3 linked regions of the Elephas maximus indicus genome follow. The protein of the gene in region 3 purifies or fractionates together with the protein of the main gene of each other region. This does not show direct contact. Links are inferred from orthologs where the notes say so. Each region holds a gene or a part of one and is shown on either strand. Other genes may lie near its edges.

The links. The genes of interacting proteins can lie anywhere in the genome.
Region 1: the proteins of BBS12 (region 3) and BBS7 purify together in Homo sapiens (co-immunoprecipitation; 3 studies listed by BioGRID and IntAct, counting the BioPlex papers as one, with this or other methods). This does not show direct contact. The link is inferred for Elephas maximus indicus from reciprocal best matches to the Homo sapiens genes BBS12 and BBS7.
Region 2: the proteins of BBS12 (region 3) and McKusick-Kaufman/Bardet-Biedl syndromes putative chaperonin-like purify together in Homo sapiens (co-immunoprecipitation; 4 studies listed by BioGRID and IntAct, counting the BioPlex papers as one, with this or other methods). This does not show direct contact. The link is inferred for Elephas maximus indicus from reciprocal best matches to the Homo sapiens genes BBS12 and MKKS.

What each region holds. Positions count from the first base shown.
Region 1 is NC_064823.1:25,335,736-25,343,422, forward strand, and holds the start of BBS7 (Bardet-Biedl syndrome 7 protein), read left to right. Parts: upstream 1-4,678; 5' UTR 4,679-4,840; coding exon 4,841-4,876; intron 4,877-6,575; coding exon 6,576-6,641; intron 6,642-7,687.
Region 2 is NC_064843.1:49,215,080-49,222,750, reverse strand, and holds the start of McKusick-Kaufman/Bardet-Biedl syndromes putative chaperonin-like, read left to right. Parts: upstream 1-4,662; 5' UTR 4,663-4,683; intron 4,684-7,671. UniProt on the Homo sapiens protein: Probable molecular chaperone that assists the folding of proteins upon ATP hydrolysis. Plays a role in the assembly of BBSome, a complex involved in ciliogenesis regulating transports vesicles to the cilia.
Region 3 is NC_064823.1:24,363,670-24,370,905, forward strand, and holds the start of BBS12 (Bardet-Biedl syndrome 12 protein), read right to left. Parts: upstream 3,017-7,236; 5' UTR 2,908-3,016; intron 2,164-2,907; exon of another isoform or gene 1,705-2,163; intron 1-1,704. Other genes in the region: centrin-4, read left to right, coding at 3,347-3,349. UniProt on the Homo sapiens protein: Component of the chaperonin-containing T-complex (TRiC), a molecular chaperone complex that assists the folding of proteins upon ATP hydrolysis.

The sequences.
Region 1 (7,687 bases), about 970 kb from region 3:
GCATAAACAGAATACAAAACATTACCAAAAATGATGAAGAGAAACCAGATAACTGGGAGCTCCTAAAAATCAAACACCTATGCTCATCTAAAGACTTCACCAAAAGAGTAAAAAGACCACCTACAGACTGGGAAAGAATTTTCAGCTATGACATCTCCGACCAGCGCCTGATCTCTAAAATCTACATGATTCTGTCAAAACTCAACCACAAAAAGACAAACAACCCAATCAAGAAGTGGGCAAAGGATATGAACACACATTTCACTAAAGAAGATATTCAGGCAGCCAACAGATACATGAGAAAATGCTCACGATCATTAGCCATTACAGAAATGCAAATTAAAACTACGATGAGATTCCATTTCACACCGGCAAGGCTGGCATTAATCCAAAAAACACAAAATAATAAATGTTGGAGAGGCTGCGGAGACATTGGAACTCTTATACACTGCTGGTGGGAATGTAAAATGGTACAACCACTTTGGAAATCTATCTGGCGTTATCTTAAACAGTTAGAAATAGAACTACCATACAACCCTGAAATCCCACTCCTGGGAATATACCCTAGAGATACAAGAGCCTTCATACAAACAGATATATGCACACCCATGTTTATTGCAGCTCTGTTTACAATAGCAAAAAGTTGGAAGCAACCAAGGTGTCCATCAACGGATGAATGGGTAAATAAATTGTGGTATATTCACACAATGGAATACTACGCATCGATAAAGAACAGTGACGAATCTGTGAAACATTTCATAACATGGAGGAACCTGGAAGGCATTATGCTGAGCGAAATCAGTCAGAGGCAAAAGGACGAATATTGTATAAGACCACTATTATAAGATCTTGAGTAATAGTAAACGTGAGAAGAACACATACTTTTGTGGTTACGAGGGGGGGAGGGAGGGAGGGTCGGAGAGGGTTTTTTATTGATTAATCGGTAGATAAGAAATGCTTTAGGTGAAGGGAAAGACAACACTCAATACATGGAAGGTCAGCTCAATTGGACTGGACCAAATGCAAAGAAGTTTCCGGGATAAAATGAATGCTTCAAAAGTCAGCGGAGCAAGGGCGGGGGTCTGGGGAACATGGTTTGCAGGGACTTCTAAGTCAATTGGCAAAATAATTCTATTATGAAATCATTCTGCATCCCACTTTGAAATGTGGCGTCTGGGGTCTTAAATGCTAACAAGCGGCCATCTAAGATGCATCAATTGGTCTCAACCCACCTGGAGCAAAGGAAAATGAAGAACACCAAGGCCACACGACAACTAAGAGCCCAAGAGACAGAAAGGGCCACATGAACCAGAGACCTACATCATCCTGAGACCAGAAGAACTAGTTGGTGCCCGGCCACAATCGACGTCTGCCCTGACAGGGAGCACAGCAGAGGACCCCTGAGGGAGCAGGAGATCAGTGGGATACAGACCCCAAATTCTCATAAAAAGACCAAACTTAATGGTCTGAATGAGACTAGAGGAATCCCGGCAGCCATGGTCCCCAGACCTTCTGTTGGCACAGGACAGGAACCATTCCTGAAGACAACTCATCAGACATGAAAGGGACTGGTCAGCGGGTGGGAGAGAGACGCTGATGAAGAGTTAGCTAATTATAGCAGGTGGACACTTGAGATTGTGTTGGCAACTCTTGTCTGGAGTGGAGATGGGAGGAGAGAGAGAGAGAGAAGCGGGCAAAATTGTCACGAAAGGAGAGACTGAAAGGGCTGACTCAAGAAGGGGAGAGCAAGTGGGAGTAGGGAGTGAGATGTATGTGAACTTATATGTGACAGACTGATTGGATTTGTAAACGTTCACTTGAAACTTTAATAAAAGTTAATAAAAAAAATAAAAAAATGGAAATTTTTATTACAAATTATGCAAGCATTTTATGGAAACAGAAAAAATAGGGGGTGAAAGCCCATAATCTTTCAATTAATAACCAACTAAAACTTCCTAATGTATTTCTCAACAGTCCTTTCACGTAATTGTGGTCATAGTATACACACCATTTTATTTCCTGCCTTTTAACTTATCCGTATAACTGGAATGCTTTTCACATTGCTATACAGCCTTCATTATTTTCACTTGTATATAGTCCACAGAGTCGATGCACCATTCCCCCATTATTGGACAGTTAGGTCCCTAATTTAAAGATTGTTTCAATTATGACTTCTTAACTACTTCCTGTTGTTTTCATAGACTAAATATTCAGAGTTAGGTTTATGGGGTAAAAGGTTAGGTTTATAGGTTGCCATGCCTATTGCTAAAGTGACTTTGAAAAAGGTTTTATTACTAGTTTATGCCATCACAAGCAGTTGATGAGTGTGTCTTACAGCATACAGTGTTATCATTTAAACCTACATTCCAATTTGAAAGGCAAAATAGAAAGACATCCTGCTTTGATATGATTGATTACAGTGAGAGTAGTAGTTTTCTACATGTTTGTTCAGTAGTCACCTCTTTTGTGAACTGTCTATTCATATCGTTACCTGTTCATTTATTGGAGTCATAGTATTTCTTAATTTTATTAATTTGTTTAAAGAAGTTAACTCTTTGTAAATGTTTTCCCAAATTTTTGTTAATTTTTTTTTTATTTTTGTGACATAGAAATGATTCATCATTACTTCTCATATCTGATTTTGTTTGTGGTTTCTTGTATTCCCTCTGAGACGAGACAATTCCCTTCCAACATATTAAATTCTATAAAATTCTACACAATTTTATTTCCTCTGATCTCCTGTATGGTTTTACTTCTCTATTAACTTCTAAAATTTCTCTGATAAGTATTTTTCTGTAAAGTCTAAATTGATAGATGTATTTTCCCCAAATTGCTGAACAGGTAACCCATCCTCATGTATTGTTGTCTGTTATTTTAGCCTCAGAAAAGGAATTGGCCAGAACACCCTGGAAAAACCCTAGGCAAAAATCTTCTCAGATCCTTCTGCAGGAATTCAGTTCTCTTCCTAATTTCACTTTTTCTCAGGGATTTAATTCTTCTTGTGTTGTTTCACAATCATTTGTGAACCCTCCTCTGTAGTAGATCACAGAAATCAGGAAAAGGGCTCTATCATATTCATCTGAATTTTGACAGGCAGATCGCGTTGTGAACTAAGGAAGAATTGACAAAAGTGAGTCAAGGAATGTCAGCTCTCAGTCAGATTCTAGGTCACTATAAAAAAAAAAAAGGCCAGTGATGTTCAAAGTGTAGTCTGCAGACCCCTGGGGTTCTCTTAGGCCTTTTCTGGGGTCTGCAATTTTGAAACTATCTTCATAGTAACACAAAGACATTATTTGCCTTTTTCGCTGTGTTGACATTTGCACTGATGGTACAAAAGCAATGGAGGTTAAGACTGCTGGCGCCTAAGTATGAATCAAGACGATGTCTCCAAACTGTATTAGTAGGCACTGTATCCTTCATGCCACACACTGGCAGGAAACCAAATAAGGTTTTATATGAACATGGCCTTCATGGAGCAGTAAAGATTGTTAACTTTAAGCCTCAATTTGAGTACATGTCTTTTTTTTTTTTTAATATTGTGGGATGACATGGGAAGTACGCATAAAGCACTTCTGCTGAATACTGAAGTACATTGTCTCAAGGAAATGCACTTGTGTGATTATATGAGTTGCTAGCAGAACTCTGCTGTTTTCATGGAACATTAGTTTTATTTCAAAGAACGACTGACAAACTAAGATTATTTGGACTTGTTATTTAGCATACGTTTTCTCATTAATTCAAGAAGGAACCTATCGGCTCAAGGAAAACAACTGACATTTGTCGCCCATGCTTAAAATTCGGGTTTTCAAGTATAAATTAGAATTTTGGAAAATTTGTATCTACCATATGAGTTTGACAGCTTTCCCATGCTTCAAGAATTTTCTGATGAGATTTGTGGCGGTTTTAACAAATAGGATTTTTTGATACTGTATCATGAAGCCAGACTCCGTATTGCAACTAACCTTTCAAAAACGACTACTTGACTAGTTTGGACCAAATTTTCTCCATATACTTCAACAAAAATAACAAATAGCAATAGATAGAATGCAGAAGCAGATCTGGGACTCCTGCTGTCTACTACTAAGGCAAACAATAAATAGAGGCAAACAACGCCATTCTTTTTATTTTGGAAACTGTATTTTTCATTAAAATGTAATCTATGCAATGGGTTTATTTTTAATGAATTAAAAAATTTTTCAGCTCTAATTTCTAATACAGTAAATATCAGTAGAAAACTCACATGAACAAAAATTCTTTGGGGTCCTCAATAGTTTTAAGGGTTTTGTAAAAAAGCCCTGAGGGCAGAATTTTGAGAACTGCTATTGTAAGCTAACGCTTATAACGGTGGAGCCGAATTCTTCCCTTCGCACTAACGAAGTGAAGTAGGTTAGAGTCGACCGGGGACTCAAACCTGAGCTCCACACAGCAGGAGGCATGCTCTGAGGGAAAGAGCTAGGAAAGCAGGGCAAAGGGAAAGGGCTGGAGCCAAGACTGCGTCTCTTGTCTCCCTGGAAACCGCCCTACCTTGGTCCCCTGGACCGTGTCCTGCGTTCCTCACCGCCTCTGATTGGAGCAGGTTAAGGTAGTAGGCGGGCTGTGGGCGCGTGGGCGGGGCGTATTTTCGTCCAGGGACTACTCACGTGAACGTACTGACGTCACGACCGACGCTGCTGCCCCGACGCCCTACCCCTGCATCCCCCGCCGGAGGCCGCGGTACGTGGGCTTGCACCTCAGAGGGGGACGCGGGCGGCCTTCGTCGCCGGGTCCGAGGCCTGAGGGCCCGCAGCGCCTGTCTTTCCTGTTCTGGCCCGGCGCTGCCCGGCGCGTCAGTGCAGCCGTCATGGATCTGAATTTAAACCGAGCAGATTATTTACAGGTAAATCCGAGGGGGTGGGGCAAGCGCCGCGCTGGCTGAGCTTCGCGCCCTGAGAGGATTCGTTCTTCCACAGACCTCTGTCCGGGTCTCCCGGTGCGGACGCGGGCTGGGCGCGAAAGAGCCCGGCCGGGCACCGCCCTCCCGGCGACCCTCTCGCGGGGAGCGGGCAGGTCCGGCTGGTGGGTGACGGTCCGCTGGGACTTGGAAAGAAGTGACACACGCCCCCGCGGACCTGGCGCCTGCTGAGGGTGCTCTCCCCGGATTTCGCTTTAGGGCCCTTTTCCTCCGCCTTCCCGGCTGCGGCTCCCTGTGGGCCTGAAGCTCCCTGATCTGTCTCTACCCCGCACCTTCTCCCGAGCGCCAGACCCATGGTCCCAACTTTGAGCCGGACAGCACCAGGCAGATCATAAGAAAAGCAGTGGCAACCCATTAGTGATCATCTAGTTCATTCTAAGAGTTTTACGTAAATATTTAGTCCTCATAAAAGATTCTGCAAAGTGGATAGTCTTAACAGATGAGGATCCAGGGGCTTAGAGAAGGTAAGCAGTTTGCTTAATACCAGAAATGATGGAGAGTCTCTATTTGAAACAAAGTCTTGGATTCCACAGTTTTTCTTTCTCTTACACCACATTTTCTCTCAGGATTTCTTTCAGCCTCCTCGAAATAGATCTAAGACTGAATTCGTTATCTGTCTCTCCCATCTCCTCTATTTAGATTAATAGTACAAATGGTTGCCCAGTCAGTTTCCCTCAAGCTAGAAATTTGGGAGTCATGCTAGGTACTCTCACCTTAATCTCTTACACGTTGAACTGGCCACCATATCTTGCTGCTTTTATGTTCTAAATGTTTCTTCAATCTGTCCCATTCCCCCCATGGCCATTACCCCAGTTCAGATTGTCATCTTCTCTGGCTTGGATAATTGAAATAACCTCCTAACTGGGCTCCTGGCCTGCAGTTTCACCTACCTTCAGTCCATTCTTCGCATTACTTGCTAGACTGGTATTCCAAAAATACAAATCTAAAGAGATTATTACCTTAAATGTTAATACTACACCCCAGAATGCAGAATAAAATCATAGATCTGTATTACATGTAAGTTCTTTCATAGTTCTTTCCTAATCTTTTTTTTCTCCAGCTTCTCTCTCAATAGCCCTATACTTCTCATCTAAGTATATACCACTAGTGACAGTTCCCTGCTGAACAAGCCATGGTGTTTTCATCCTCCCTACCTTACGTAAAATAATCTTTACCATTAGTTAGATTGGATGTTATCAAGTCATCAGCATGTCTGGTACTTTAGCAAAATTTTTCTGTTTCGTTTTTAATAAAGCTAATCTATTTCCAAAGATTTTTAATCACTTAAAAAAACTCTTTAACAAGTAGTATGAATTTATAAAAAAGGCTTCTAGAAGTATTGTTTTGTGAAGCACCTTACCAGTAATGCCACATAATTATTTTTGGCTTGACAACTCTCTGGATATATTTTGCTATTTTTGGTTATTTTCCTATATTCTCTCTTTTGTGACATAATTCATTAGAATATAAGTTTGTCATTGATAATAATAGTTACATCATTAATTGCAGTTTAAAAAAAAGACTCACTGTGATATGAAACTGGTGATTCTTTTACATCTGATGTAATAACTTCAAATTGCAGTGCATAAGAGAACATTTAGCAAATGCTGGTGTGTTTTCTTAGGTAGGAGTGACCGCTCAGAAGACTATGAAGCTACTTCCTGCCTCAAAACATAGAGCTACACAAAAGGTACTGTATGGATAATGTTTTACAGAGAAAGATTTATATTTCCTTCATCATTGTTAAGTTGCTTTTTTAAAAATGCTAATAGTAAATTGGAACTGAATTTCTTGTTATTTGAACAGAGGTCAGAATACCAAGGGTCATTTACACACAATAATTTTCTTGCACATTATAATTGCATTATGTGTAATTAGTAAATCATATTAGCAAACCAGTTAAAAACCATAATATAGTTTTTTCTGCTAATAATTTACTCTGTGTGTATCATATTGTGTATATGGAGAAGGAAATGTAAAATAGGATATAGACAAAATGATTTCTTTAAACTTTCTCATATCTCTAAGAGGAATTGAAACTTTAAGTAAATAATTACACACATTTGTGTTTAATAGTATCATTATTTTTATAGAAATACTTATCTTATGATTTCTGCAATTACAATTTCTTAGTATGGAGCCCTTGTGGCGCAGCCATTAAGAGCTCAGCTACTAACCAAAAGGTCAGCAGTTCGAATCCACCAGCTACTCCTTGGATACCCTATGGGGCAGCTCTACTCTGTCCTGTAGAGTTGCTTTGAGTTGGAATTGAGTTGAAAGCACCGGGTTTGGTTTTGGGGGGGTTTTAGTAGGCTAATAGGATATTTTAATAGCTTCAAAGTGAGTACGGTATATATCAAGATACAGCAGTAGGTTTCTGATTGTCATTTATTGTATTCAGCCTATTAGATCAATGATTCACAAACTTCTGGGTCTCAGGATCCCTTTACACTCTTAAATTACTGATGATCTTAAAGAACTTTTGTTTATATAGATTATATCCATTAATACTTATATAAAAATTAAAACTGAGAATTGTTTAAAATACTAATTATTTTATTTGAAAATAATAAATCCATTGCATGTTTATATAATCATTTTTGTGAAAAGAAGGTATTTTCTAAAACAAAAAAAGAATTTAGCAGGAAGAAAGGCATTGCTTTATATTTTAATATAATGCCTGGTAGCAAAGACAGCCGAATGCTCATTTATTTTCTGTATTCAGTGTGTTGTGAT
Region 2 (7,671 bases), on a different chromosome or scaffold from region 3:
TGTAATACTCAACAGCAGTGGGTTTTTTGGTTATAACAAGCTTCTTCTGTTCATTAATCTTTTGCTGTTCATTTGATACTAAGAACTAAGCCAAATAAAACTGAACCAAAATTAGCCCAGACCAAACCCATTGCCATCAGGTCGATTCTGACTCATAGCAACCCTAAAGGACAGAGTAGAACTGCCCCATAGGGTTCCAAGGAGCACCTGGTGAATTTGAACTGCCAATTTTTTGGTTAGCAGCTGTAGCTCTTAACCGCTGTGCCACCAGGGGTTCCAAAAATTAGCCCAGTTAATCACAATTGTTAGTAAGTCACTGTCTTAGTTTCTTAGTACTGCTGTAACAGAAGTATCACAAGTGGGTGGCTTTAATAGACAGATACTTATTTTCTCACAGTTGAGAAGGCTAGAAGTCTGAATTCAGGGCACCAACTCTAGGGGAAGGCTCTCTCTGCTCTGGGGGAAACCCTTGTCTCAACTTCTCTAGCCCCAGGGTTCCTTGGTTCCTTGGTGACCTCCACATGACATCTGTCCTTCCCCTGTTTGTGCTTCTTTGCTCTGTGTTGCTCCTTTGTCACTCTGAGCGCTTAGGTTTAGGATACTCCCTACACTGATAGGTTTGTTCACGTAACAAAGAACCCTGTTTCCAAATTGTATACATCCAAAGGTATAGGGGTCAGAATTCCAACACATATTTTGTAGGGGAGGGGGGACACAATCAAATCTATAATCATCATGGATATATTTTTTGGAGGATATAGACTCTTTTTCTCTGATTTTGGAGAAAATGTTAGGATACCGCTGTCAGTCTCTTAATATACCTCACGTGAAAATAAGAACTTGCCAGACATGATGTTAATATGTCATTTTAAAAGAATGCTAGTTCCATCTTGCTGGGTAGAGATGGATTCTTACATGTACTGAGTGATAGTTCTCAGTGTTTTTATGTGGATTAAACGGGAAGACTCCTAATAGTACTTTGTACATAAAAAGCCCTATCATCCTGACCATAATCATTTTCCAAGCCTCTCAAAGGGTAACAGGATAATCTGCCGGAAAAGTTATTGCTCTCTCACCCCCATTAGCCGAATCAATGTATGAGATACAGCGAATTTGAGGAGATGGGACATGTTGGTATTGAGTAAACGTTAAAGCAATTAATCACTAAATTGGTCTACATCGTTTACAAAGCAGGAAGTACTGTAGAAGGCCTCAGTGATGTTTGGCAAATAAAGAGTTTTCAATGAAAATAGATAGTAATACCTAGATTTAACTAAATCTAAATCTAGGGAAAGATATATAGACCTTTAAATTAATCTGATTGAAAAGAACAGTAGACTATTAAATAATCTATAAACAAAGTAGAGCACTTACTTTGTCTTTAACCTAGGAATGACCCAAAGATTCACTAAAGGTAGGGAGCTAACTTAATCTGAGACCCTATTTTTACTCTTCTTAAGGAAGGTTCAAGGATGGGTGATACAAGCTGTTCGCAGTTGGCTGCTAACCTAAGGGTTGGTGATTCAAACCCATCCAATGGCTCTGTGGAAGAAAGGCCTGCCAAACTGCTTCCATAAAGATTACGGCCAACAAAACCCGTTGGAGCAGTTCTACCCTGTAACACATGGGGTCGGCATGAGTTGGAATCAACTGAACGTCAATAGAAAGGAAGGTTCACAGTACCTCACGTTAGATACTGTGGTCTTGAAGGGGAGAACAGTCCAAAACCTGAATATTGATTGCTGTTACAGGTCGTAGTTTAATTTTTTCCAAATTTTAGTTATTGAGGTATTCATCCCAACTTTATTACTATTATATCTTTTTATCCAAACTGTTCTCTTTTCTGTAACCAGGGATTTCAAGTGAGTTCTAGATTGTTAGGATTGTACAGAGAGAAGATGGAGAGGGTAAGCTTGAATCTGGTTCATAAAGTGTGTGAAACCCTATGAGAAGCAAGGTGACCGCCTGGGACAGGAGCAAATGCTGCAAGTTCTCAGAGGAGCCTAAAGCTGCTAGTCACCCTTGTTCACCTATGCAAGAGGGGATCCTAGTGGAAAGCTACCATTTTGGACAGATTTCTACTGAGAGCATCAGGCTCATGTCCAGAAACCAACCTCAGTGTCAACAAGACTACCTTCTCCTGCGAGGAAGAGGAAGCAGAGTCCATGCTGTGGCTGCCACCAGCTGCCCAGGGGCCTGGAATGCCACTTCATGACTCAGATTCAACAGTGTACCTGTGTGGTTCTGATTTTGAGTTTGGTCCAAGATCACCAAACTGTGACTAGTAGCTACAAAACACTAATTTTAGACGATGAGAATTTTCTCTCTTCTAAGATTTTTTTTTTTTTTTTAAGATTAGTTTTCCCAAATGTTTATGATTCAGGAAAAAGCTGACAAATGCAGTGTTATATTAGTGATCATGGAGAAGTATATGGTAAATAGCAAGGATACCATCTATTAAAAATAGTGTGGCTTGATAACCTCATGCTGAGGATGACAATTAGAGGTGCTAAAGTCACCTTAAGTATTGAGACTGGACGTGAAAGGGAGCCCTGGTGATGCAGGGGTTAAGAGCTCGGCTGCTAACCAAAAGTCAGCCATCCAAATCCACCAGCCGCTCCTTGGGAACCCTATGGGGTAGTTCTACTCTGTCCTGTAGGGTTGCTATGAGTCAGAATCAACTCGAGGGCAACAAGTTTTATGGACATGAAAGACGATACCTCCTAGACCTTCAGTTCAAGGTGTTTAGTGGGCAGAAATGCCAAATGTCAGTCAAGACAAGCTGATTGTCTTTGGCACAGCCTCTCCACCTTTATCCACCCCTCTAGGAAGTAAATCTTAAGAAAGCTCTTCCTTTGTTACCTCAGATGACCCAGTACCTCCCCAATTGTGTCCAAACTCACATTTTAAAATTTTATATTATCTCAAATGTTCCAAAGACTTTTGCACCACAATGAAATTTAATCACGATGCAGTAATTTGTGATTGATTTTCCCCCAAAATAGAACATAAACTTGTCAATAAAAGGTATGGTCTTTGATGGTCGCAGAAAGCATTTGAGATCCCAGAGCACTTTATGAAAGGGAAAGACCATAAAATACTTTGAGTTACAAAGTCGGTCATGTCTTCTCCACCCAGTGGTTTAAGTTTAGCAACAGAGTCTTTATGCAATGTGAATTAGGACGTTGGTGACAGATTCTAATGCTGGGAGTAATGTATGTATGTAGACTAAAACTTAAAGCCTTCTGTTCATTTTTAATATATACATGGAATGCAGAGATAGTTCAGGCTATTTTAGTCATTGGTCTAAGTTTTAATCTTGACTTAGAAGGTGAAGAGTAAGTAGAAAATTTTTTCTAACAGCATTTTTACAGAATTACAGTAATTTAGGAGATTTCCTGATACTAAAACTGATATAGGTGCAATTGAACCAAATCCTTAGCCTGTCCCATAGACTGAGCAGCCCTGTGTTATCCTTCTATGCTCAAAAAGGAACTTGGAAAATGGGGTCATTGATATCACAAGTCTGTATAGCCAACACTGAAGCCTAATGAGCATTGCTTAAATAAAAGTAGGAGGAGTCTTTGGAGGTTACACGGACTTGAGTTCACAAACCCAGCAGATCATCAGAACACAGATTTCCTGGGTCCAACCTCATGCTTGCCAAATTAAAGACTGAAAAAAAAATTTTTTTTTGTAACTCCAGGAAGTTATTAGCCTCAATTTCTTCATGTAAAGTGGGTTGACAATAATCCCTGTTGGGTAGGGTTATTAGTAATACAGGCTAAACACTATAAAACGCAAGGGGTTTGGCACATAAGTGTTCAGATGACAGTAATTCATCCAAATTTCATGAAGTCCAAGCCAGAAGTCCAAGTCAGAACTCTTGCTGCGATTGGAATCCGTGTTTGACAGCCTCAGTTGGAGCACTATCACTTACATGCTGTCAGAATTCAGAATCTGAATTGTTTGTTGTTGTTGTAAAAATATATATAATACAACATTTGACAATTAGAGCCTAAATTTGTACTGCATAGTTCAGGATTACCACTTGATTCTTCCGTTACGGTTGTGACTAAATGTAATTAAAAAAAAAAAAAAAGATCTAACTTCATTGTGGTTCAGAGATTATACTTTTAAAATGATATCCGTGATGAGTGTTTCCAAAGGTTCATATGGCTTTCTCAGTAGGTAATGTTGCTTCTTTACAATTCCTGACTAAAAATTCAGTATTGCTTTATAAGTTTCTCAGATGTGACTTCCTGCTGTCCTTCTGTGCCTACAGTGTATCTCTTTTTGTTAATTAACATTGTAGTATACTATAAAAATGTTCAGCAGTCAGCCTTTATTAGAGTGTGATATGCTACTTTTTTTTTTTTTATGCTACTTGTGGTTTACAAGTGTAATATGTTTTTTTTTTTTTTTTTCTGTTAACTGTTAACCTTTTCTTAGGTGCCCTGATGCTGAAGTACTATGAGCTTTCAGACCTTCTGGAGAGACTACAAAGTTCTGGTTGTTATGATACCAGTAGTTGGGCTCATACATCTGGGGTGGTACAAAATCAAAAGCAGCCCCATTTTCCAAATACCTAATAAGGACAACATTCCTGAGCCAGATAATCTGGCTCTTACAAGTCCTCAGAAGATCAAAACCCAAGGGAAATAGCAGACTTGCAGCCTTCAGGTAAGTTGGATTTAATGTGATCAACCACATGGTACCTTCCACTCATGGGGAACTTGATCTCATAATAGAGCTCTAGCAAGAGAAAGCTAAGGTGGCGTGTTAGCCCTGTTGTTTTTATTATGACCCACTGTTCTGCAGTTGCTTTTAGAAGTGTGTGTTGCACAGAGACCTTTGACACTTGTTTGGAAGAGTCATTTGCATGAAAAGGTACAGGACTATGGATCCAGTACTCTTCCTGTCCCTTTCAGTGTCACCAGGATCGTGAATGTGTACAGAGAAGCAGCTGACTCCGGGCCATAAACCCATTGCCTTGTTGTCAGTTGCCTTCCAGTTGATTCCAACTCATGGGGACCCCACGTGTGCAGAGTAGAGCTGCTCCGTAGGGTTTCAAGTCTGCGACCTCTCAGAAGCAGATCTCCAGGCCTGCCTTCCAAGTCACCTCTGGGTGAACTTGAACCTTTCATCTGGTAGTCATGCACTTAACTGTTTGCACCGCCCACAGACTCCATTACAGAGCTTAAAAGTCTGTAACTTGGAAAAAGCTCTTTTCCGGTACAACACTATTGTGTTAATTCCTTAGCATCTGATCAAAATAATTTGTTACTTTTGAGAGTCTGAGATGAGAGGATGCAGTCACACAGTTCATATGTGTAGCTCTTTATCTACAATTCCAAAGTCCAAAAAGCTCTAAAACCTAGAGTTTTTTGCCGTAATTCCTTTGGCAGCAAAACTTGATCTTAATTAACGTAATAATTTGTAATTTTAGCCCACTTAATGTGAATGTTTATTTTCACTACAGATGAGTTGTTGTGTTTGATTATGAGTTTCGTAATAAACACTATACTGTATTTCTAAAACTCTTAAGAATTTTGAATCATGGCCCCGAGGGTTTCAGGTAGAAAACTGGGACTCTATATTTAGAAAACATTTTCTATTCTAATATACCGTTTTTGAACCTTTTGACCTTCAGTTGAATAATAATATGGTTTAAATTTTGGCATAAGGTGGGTCATAAGGTTCTGCTCCTTTTAGAAGGATCTTGTTAAGATTTTTCTGTTAAGTGTGTGCTTATGACTTGTGATAAAACTATTATATAATTATGGGCTATAGTATTTTTTAAAATTTTTATCTTATACAGTATTATTTTAAATCAAGCTTTTATTTTCTCCTTAAATGTTCTTAAGGAGAAGGGGGAAGCAGGGATTAAAATATCAGACCATAAATATTAAAAGACAGGTGCTAAAATGTCAGAAATTTAACAACTTATAAGAGAAACCTTAGACATTGAGTATAAAATGTGTATTTATAGTGAGATTTTAGTGGACATGAACAGGGAGTTAAAGAGCTTATGAAATGCTTGATTTTTATGTATAACCTCTTCCAGACTAATGAGATCATTACAGAGTACATGTAGGCCCTGACTTACTATGTATTGGAGTTACCATGAACTGCGCTTACCACCATCTGGGTTTTTTTGTATTGATAATATATACTACATACAATGTTTTAGTGCTTAATTTGCTGATGCTAATCATTCTCAGATGTTCAAAGATCAGATTTGTAAAGATACTGTAATAAAAGGCAATAATAATGAAAACTAGAGGGAAAAAAAAAGAGGTATTCGACTTAGGTCAGAACCTACTTTAAGATGGAGTCGTTGAAACAGAGCCCTGCCAGCAGTCAGGGACTGTCTGTATGTATATCACGCTTATGACATCATATTTGTCCTTTAAGTCATAAGCATTTGGGGGCCTGGTACAGCCACACTTTAGAAAAAAGGTAAAAAAAGTAGTTTCTCCTTGTACAAAAAGAAATACAAAACATATCATTAATTAAGGCATACTTAGAGGAAAAGTAAAACTGAAAAAAGAAATTGTCTCTTCGGAAATGTTAGAGGTTTTCGATGTCAGCACTGCAATAGTTAGAAGATTTAGAGGCCAGCGCTGCCAGGCAAGCAAGCGGAAGCAAATCCTTACACAGGCTTGGGAAGCAAAAGGAAAAGCCGGATTTAGACTCGGTTAGACACGGATTCCTAACGGTTTAGTACACCTGAAGACTGTGCTGTAGTTGCCCCTTACTATTTTTTATTGTTATTTTTATTATGGAAAATTTCAAACTTATCCAAAAATAGAGAAACTAATTGAACTCTCAAGTATCCATTACTCACCTTTAACACTTATCCATATTTTCCCAGTCTTCTTGTATCCTTCCTTTGGTTTTTTTGGTTTGGTTTGGGCTGGAATGTTTTAAAGCATATTCCAAGCTAGAGTATATATCCCTTCCATATGTATCTTTAAGCGAGGAAAAACACACTCACACATAGCCACAATTGCACTGTCACACTGAAAAAATTAACATTGACCCTCTGATACCATCTCATACCCAGGGCCGTGTTCGTATTTCTGAATTGTCATTAAACAGCTTGTCTTAGAGGTGGTTTGTTGGAATCACAATCCAAACTAGGTTTACACATTGCATTTGGTAGATGCGTGTCTTTTCATCTACGACATTTCCCCTCCCCATTGGCCATTTTTAATTTTCCACATTCTGAATTTGGCTGATTGCATCCTCATTATGTTGTTTCCTATAACCTGGAATTTAGAACAGAGGCTTGCTTCAAATCTGTTTCCTTTTTAAGCATTAATACTTCATGGGGAAACCCTGGTGGCATAGTGGTTAAGTGCTACGGCTGCTAACCAAAGGGTCAGCAGTTCAAATCCACCAGGCGCTCCTTGGAAACTCTATGGGGGAGCTCTACTCTGTCCTATAGGGTCTCTATGAGTCGGAACCGACTCAACAGCACTGGGTTTGGTTGGGGTTTTTTTTCAATACTTCATGGATGGTGGTATGTGCACCTCCTAGTGAATCACGCTGCCTTACACATAATGTGTGGTTCTGCTTTCAGTGTTGCTAAGATTAATAAGTGGGTTAACAGCCTGATCCCTCTAGTCTGAAGTTCCCCACTGATCTTTTCCGTAATGAAGCACT
Region 3 (7,236 bases):
GCTGTTTTTCAAGACCGAGTACTTTCTACCCAAAGCCTGGAAATTGGAATCTGAGCTTATCATTAAACAACCATTTTAACTAGAATACCCCAGATATCAAGGGCCTAAATCATAGAATGATGAAAAAGTAGATTAACATACTGCTCAGCCTTTTAACTGCCATGAAATCAAACTTGATTCAGGAGAGTAAGAGACAGTCTAGAAATTAGAATCCAGTTGGGTACATAGGACTCGGTCACTATTCGTTTCTGGGTCTCAGAACTCTCTTTAATATTCATACTAAAGACGAAGTATATGACCTTAAAGCCAAGCAAGAACAACTTTCCAGATGAGATTAATGGCCTGAAAAATCAATATATTACAGTTAACTGGCTGAAAATTGCATTAATTCACAAAATATCTTGAATTTACATCATTTTAATTCCGACTGGGGTAACTTCAAGGTGCGCTGGTGGCACAGTGGTTAAAGCACTCGGCTGTTAACCCAAAGGTTAATGGTTTGAACCTACCAGCTGCTCCTCAGAAGAAAGATGTGGCAGTCTGCTTCTGTAAAGATTTACAACCTTGGAAATCCTACGGGACAGTTCTAGTCTGTCCTATAGGGTTGCTATGAGTCAGAATCCACTCAAAGGCAGTGGGTGTGGCTTGGTTTGGTTTTAGGGGGTAACTTCATGCAGTAAAATCACTTCTAAAATTAGAACAACCTTATCTATGTTCTAGAAGCCTAATGTTCAGTTGTGCATGGGGTTGCCATAAGTGAGACCCTGACTTGACAGCAACAACAAAGGGTTAAGTAACATACAAAACTACACAGCTTGGGATATAATGTGAATATGGCAGGCAGATGGCTTTGGAAAATGTGCCATGTTTCTAGCTACCAAACCATGAAAAGTGATTTAGGAGACTGTTTCAAGAATGTAGTTTGCACATTTTTCTTGCTCCAACTTCAATGAGATAAGTGAGACAAAGGAAAAAGACCAGGCAGAACTGAATATTCTTCCTGAATCCACTGTTGGAGAGTCCAGTATGATTTTTAGAAAATATTTACTCTAGAGAAGGCATGGCTTGACCTTTTAGTTAGGAGCCCAACTCTTAACCGCTGCAGCCACCAGCACTCCAGAGGAGGCACTGTAGCAAGCCTAAAAGGCCCTGCTGTGTTTTTGTCAGTTTTAAGAGGCTATATCACCTCTTCCTTCCTACCAGGAAGTCAGGGCTCTTTTCTATCACTGTCCTTCTCCCCCACTCTTTTAGCTGGTCCTGGGCCAAGTTCGGAGCCCTGGTGGCAGTGGTTAACAGGTATGGCGAGCTACAGCTGCTAACCAAAAGGTCAGCAGTTCGAATCCACCCGCTGCTCTTTGGAAACCCTATAGGGCAGTTCTACTCTGTCTTATAGGGTCCCTGTGAGTTGGAATCGACTCAATGGCAATGGGATGGGTTTTGGCCAAGTTCAGCAGGACTGGCCAAAATTATCAGGTCTCTCCCTCTGGACAAGAGTTTGCTTTGGCTTACAGCAGTTACATGGGCATCTACGCCTCAGAGTTCAACCGGATTATCAGGCTACCTGTGGCCTACTCAGGAGTGAGGATCTACACTTGATGTGGCTACACTTGATGTGGCTGAACAACCAGCCAGATCTCTTGGGTGGGGAGGAGGAGTCTGCAGCAAATAAACACACAGTTAAGTAAAAGCTGTCCCCATACTCACCTCCTTCCTACCAAATCACTGCCCCACGCCTATCCAGCCAGACGAGTCCTTGTGTTGTTGTGTGCTCTCCAGTTGATACGGACTCACAGCGACCCTATAGGACAGGGTTGAACTGTCCCACAGGATTTCCTAGGCTGAAATTTTTACCCCAACAGACCACCATGTCTTTTCTCCCGTGGGATTGGCTGCTGGGTTTGAACCTCTGACCTTTCAGTTACTAGAGCACTTAAACACGGCACCAGCTGGGCTTCTTGGAGGAGTCCTTAACCCGTTGCCATCAAGTGGATTCCAACTCATAGTGACCCTATAGGCCAGAGCAGAACTGCCCTACAGGGTTTCCAAGGAGTGGCTGGTAGATTCGAACTGCTGACCTTTTGGTTAGCAACCGAGCTCTTAACCACAACTCCACCAGGGCTTCAGTGGAGTCCTTAAAAACTGTTGCCTTTAAGTAGATTCTGTCTCATAGTGACCCTATAGGACAGAGCAGAACTGCCCCATATGGTTTCCAAGGTGGATTCGAACTGCCAAACATTTGGTTAGCATCCGTAGCTCTTAACCACTAAGCCACCAGGGCTTCCAACCGTAATACCCATTGCCATGCCAACTCATTGACCCTATAGGACGGAGCAGAACTGCCCCAAAGCGTTTCCAAGGAGCGGCTGGTGGATTCCAACTGCTGACCTTTTGCTTAGCCGCCAAGCTCTTAACCACTGTGCCACCAGGGCTCCATAGTGGAGTCCTTAGGTGGTACTAATCGTTAAATACTCGCTCAGCTGCTAATCTAACAGAGGTTCAAGTGCACCCAGTGGTGCCTGGTGATCCACTTTCAAAAAGAAAAAAAAAGCTGTTGAGAACCCTACGGAGGACAGTTCTACTCTAATACACGTGGGGGTGCCACGAGTCGGAATCCACTACACGGCAACCGGACCCTGAAGCCCTGCCCAAACCAGGGTGGAAGAGTGGCAAAAGTCCATGCTCTAGGCATTGTGGAGGTATACAGGCATGCCCAGAGGCGCGGAAAATAATCCCAGCCAGATGATAAAACTAGCCTGGGTCAATTCCCCTAAAACCCACCAGGCTGGAGATTCTAATCCTTTCCCCAGCTCCAAGAGGTCAGAAAGACAAACAAAGGCTTCCCCCCCACACCCCATGTCTTCATCAAGCCTTAGCAGTCGGTGGAGGTGGAAGCGCCTCGCTACTAACCTCTCTCCTTTCTCCATCCCTACACAGGGTCGAGTCGGTCCTGGCTGGGTGCAGGACCAGAAAGCTGCGAACGCGCCCAGGCGAACGCGCCCCCTTACCCGCGTCCACCTCCCCGTCCACTGTTTGCGCATGTGCGAGGGGAGGGGTCAATATGGCTGGGCCGGCTGGTTTGGTCGCTAAGAAACCAGAGAGGAAAGTTCAGCTCGGGAAAGGCGGGAGCGACACGCTATTGGTACAGAGTAGACAGAGGGGGGCTGGCTCAAGAACCTTCTCTTTTTGCCTATTGGATGGAGTGATTATCAATCAGTAAGGGCGTTGGCTGGGCGGGCGCGTGAGAGCGGCCTTAGCAACAGCTTCGCAGCTGTGGAGGTTACCGTTGGGCAGAGCGGCGGGAGGGTGAGGCGGCGCTGCGTCCCGGCCGAGGGCGTCGGTTGGGGGCATGGTGAGTGCGAAGCTCAAACATCCTCCTGGAACTGGGGCTGGGGCTGAAGTTTCTCCCCAGAGTAATGTAGCGATTTTGTAAATGCATTATTCGTTCCCTTTTCATGATCCTCTGGTGTCGTTAGTAAACTCTCCGCGTGTTGCCACAGAGAAGAGCGGTCCTCCAATTAATTTTTCCCTTCATCTTCCCCATCATTCCGTAGGTCTTTTAGGCTAACTGCTTCTCCTTGGGAGAAGCGGTCTGGTGGCATTCATGGATCTCTGTCCATTTCTTTGACAGGTTTGTCCCAGGCTAGTCCTCTGTGAAGCTGTTTGCAAAAGGCTTGTAAAGCAGATTGCCCCTCTTACTGTCTCCTTATTGTACCCATGCCTTGTTTATAATGGAACCAGGATTCATCTTTCAGAAGTCTATAGTTTTATTTTTTAAACAATTTCCCAGAATGTTAGCTTCAAATGGAATTACGAGAGAGACAGAGACTGTGTCTCCTCTTAATTATTTTTGAGCATCCCTAGAGGGGCCAATCAAATACAGTAGACACTTTGCTTTTATAATTAAAAATAAACAAATAAACAAACCATTGACTACAGGTCGATTCCAACTCATAGTGAACCTGTAGGACAGGGTAGGTCTGCCCCATAGGGTTCCCAAGGAGCAGCTGATAAACCATTGATCTTTTGGTTAGCAGCCAAGCTCTTAACTACTGCACCACCAGGGCTCCAAGACCCTTGATTTGTGCCCCTTTAGACTTAGAAACAACTGACTTGGTGTAATTTAAATATCTAGTGATAGGCAACTGTTTCAACAGCATACTGGCTAACCAGTGACTTTCATTTACTCCACTATCAATGCTGAATAAATTGGCCTATAGTTACATACAGTTTTTCACTTTTGGGGGTGGAGGGAATAAAACTCAAAAGCCAGTTAAATAGTTTTAGAAATCTCTCAACTGTTTGGATCTCTAAAAATGTAATTATTAAGTCAAATCAGCTTATGTTTTCTTAGAACTTCAAAATCATACAATTCACACTTCTAGAATTTTCTTTAAGATTTTTATTTTATATCATTGTGTTCCTGGTACCTACTAGATGCAAATAAATATTGACTAAATGAAAGAGTGAAGTATGTTTTTCCCATACTTGGGAGTGAATGCCTACAACACAGATTTTAAATTAAGAAAATGAAAAAAAAAAGTGGGAATAGTTAAGGTGAGACTTAGCCACACTCATTTGAACGAAAAAAGAAATTAATCTGGTGGAATCTCAATAATAGATTATACAAAGGTTCAGCTTGATCAGAAAATAGGCTTTTAAAACATTATTGTTCAATAAACATTACTGAGGACTGGTTATGTGCTCATTTGCTAGGGTTTCAGGTATGACAAAGAAAATGGCACTGCTATCAAGTAACTGCTGTCACAGTCTAGTAGGGAGAAAAGAGAGGTAAATAGACCATTACAACAGAGAGTGAAAAGGGCTTCGATGGAGCAGTACAGAATGTTTGTAGGAGCACACAGGAGGAGAGCCTAACCTAAAGTACCCTGGAGAAGATGAAGGGAGAAGAAGACATGTGAACTTCTTGACCAGGTAAAGATGGAGGAGAGAGAGCTTTTTTGGCATAAGGAACAAAGGCCACGAAATTATTGTTGTGAAGCAGTTCAGAACCTTTAAAAAATGTATGCTGGAGAATAACAGGCACAGAGTTGCATTTCAGAAAAGCAAGGACGTAGGAAATGCACTGGGAGGCTGAAGACTGGAGTCAGAGAGGCTAATTAGGAAACTTGCAGTGATCCAGGTAGGATATAGCAGAACTAAGGCAGTTTCAGTAAGGATGGGATGGAAGGACAGATTCAAAACCTCTTTAGGAGGTACATCTAAAATAAACTGGTCGGAATTTGGATGTGGGGTGAGGAAAAGGGAGAAGTTAAGATTTCTATCTTAGATAATGGGTGCCTGTGCTGGTAGTAGTGGTTAAGAGCTCAGCTGCTAACCAGAAGGTCAGCAGTTTGAATCCACCAGCTGCTCCTTGGAAACCCTGTGGGGCAGTTCTGCACTGTCCTTTAGGGTCACCATGCCAGAATTGACTCAACGGCAATGGGTTCGGTTTTTTTGTGTGTGTGCTGGTAGTGCTTCAACAAAAGTAAATGGTCATTTAAGGATGCTAGTGATAGTGAAAGTGAGACTGTTCAGTAGCCTACTACATATCACTTAGGTTCAGTGTTGGAAGTAAATACTACTCTTTAGCCAAAAGGAATCGAATACAGCGAATAAGATGATTAAAAACTAGTGGACTGATGAATGGATAAATAAAATGTACTGCATACATACAATGGAATATTCTTCAGCCATAAAGAGAAATGAAGTCCTGATACAGTGATACAACATGAATGAACCTTGAAAACATTATGCGGAGTAAAATAAGTCAGTCACAAATGGGCAAATATTGTGTGACTCCACTTATATGTACATGTGCAAAGAGCTGGAGATGGAAAACCAAAAGGGAAAACCACGCTTGGCGTTTCTCAGACTGAAAGAACTGAAGAAAATTCAAGCCTTGAGTTGTAATAGTGAAGGATTCTATGGGGAAAATATTAAATGATGGAGGAAGCATCAAAAGAAGATGGAAGGAATACACAGAGTCATTATACCAAAAAGAATTAGTCTATGGTCAACCATTTCAAGAGGTGGCATATGATCAGGAGCTGATGGTACTGAAGGAAGAAGTCCAAGCTGCTCTGAAGGCATTGGCAAAAAACAAGGCTCCAGGAATTGATGGAATATCAATTGAGATGTTTCAACAAACAGATGCAGCGCTGGAGGTGCTCACTCATCTATGCCAAGAAATATGGAAGACAGCTTCCTGGCCAACTGACTGGAAGAGATCCATATTTATGCCTGTTCCCAAGAAAGGTGATCCAACCAAATGTGGAAATTATAGAACAATATCATTAATATCACACGCAAGCAAAATTTTGCTGAAGATCATTCAAAAATGGCTGCAGCAGTATATTGACAGGGAACTGCCAGAGATTCAGGCTGGCTTCAGAAGAGGACATGGAACCAGGGATATCATTGCTGATATCAGATGGATCCTGGCTGAAAGCAGAGAATACCAGAAGGATGTTTACCTGTGTTTTATTGACTATGCAAAGGCATTTGACTGTGTGGATCATAACAAACTATGGATAACACTGCGAAGAATGGGAATCCCAGAACGTTTAATTGTGCTCCTGAAAACCTGTACATAGATTAAGAGGCAATTGTTCAAACAGAACAAGGGGATACTGATTGGTTTAAAGTCAGGAAAGGTGTGCGTCAGGGTTGTATTCTTTCACCATTCCTATTCAATCTGTATGCTGAACAAATAATACGAGAAGCTGGACTATATGAAGAAGAATGTGGCATCAGGATTGGAGGAAGACTCATTAACAACCTGCGTTATGCAGATGACACAACCTTGCTTGCTGAAAGTGAAGAGGACTTGAAGCACTTACAAAGACCACAGCCTTCAGTATGGATTGCACCTCAATATAAAGAAAACAAAAATCCTCACAACTGGACCAATGAACAACATCATGATAAACAGAGAAAAAATTGAAGTTGTCAAGGATTTCATTTTACTTGGATCCACAATCAACAGCCACAGAAGCAGCAGTCAAGAAATCAAAAGACACATTGTGTTGGGTAAATCTGCTGCAAAGGACCTCTTCAAAGTGCCGAAGAGCAGAGATGTCACCCTGAAGACTCTGGTGTGCCTGACCCAAGCCACGGTATTTTCAATTGTGTCATATGCATGTGAAAGCTGGACAATGAATAGGGAAGAGCGAAGAAGAATTGACACCTTTGAATTGTGCTCTTGGTAAAGAATGTTGAATATACCATGGACTGCCA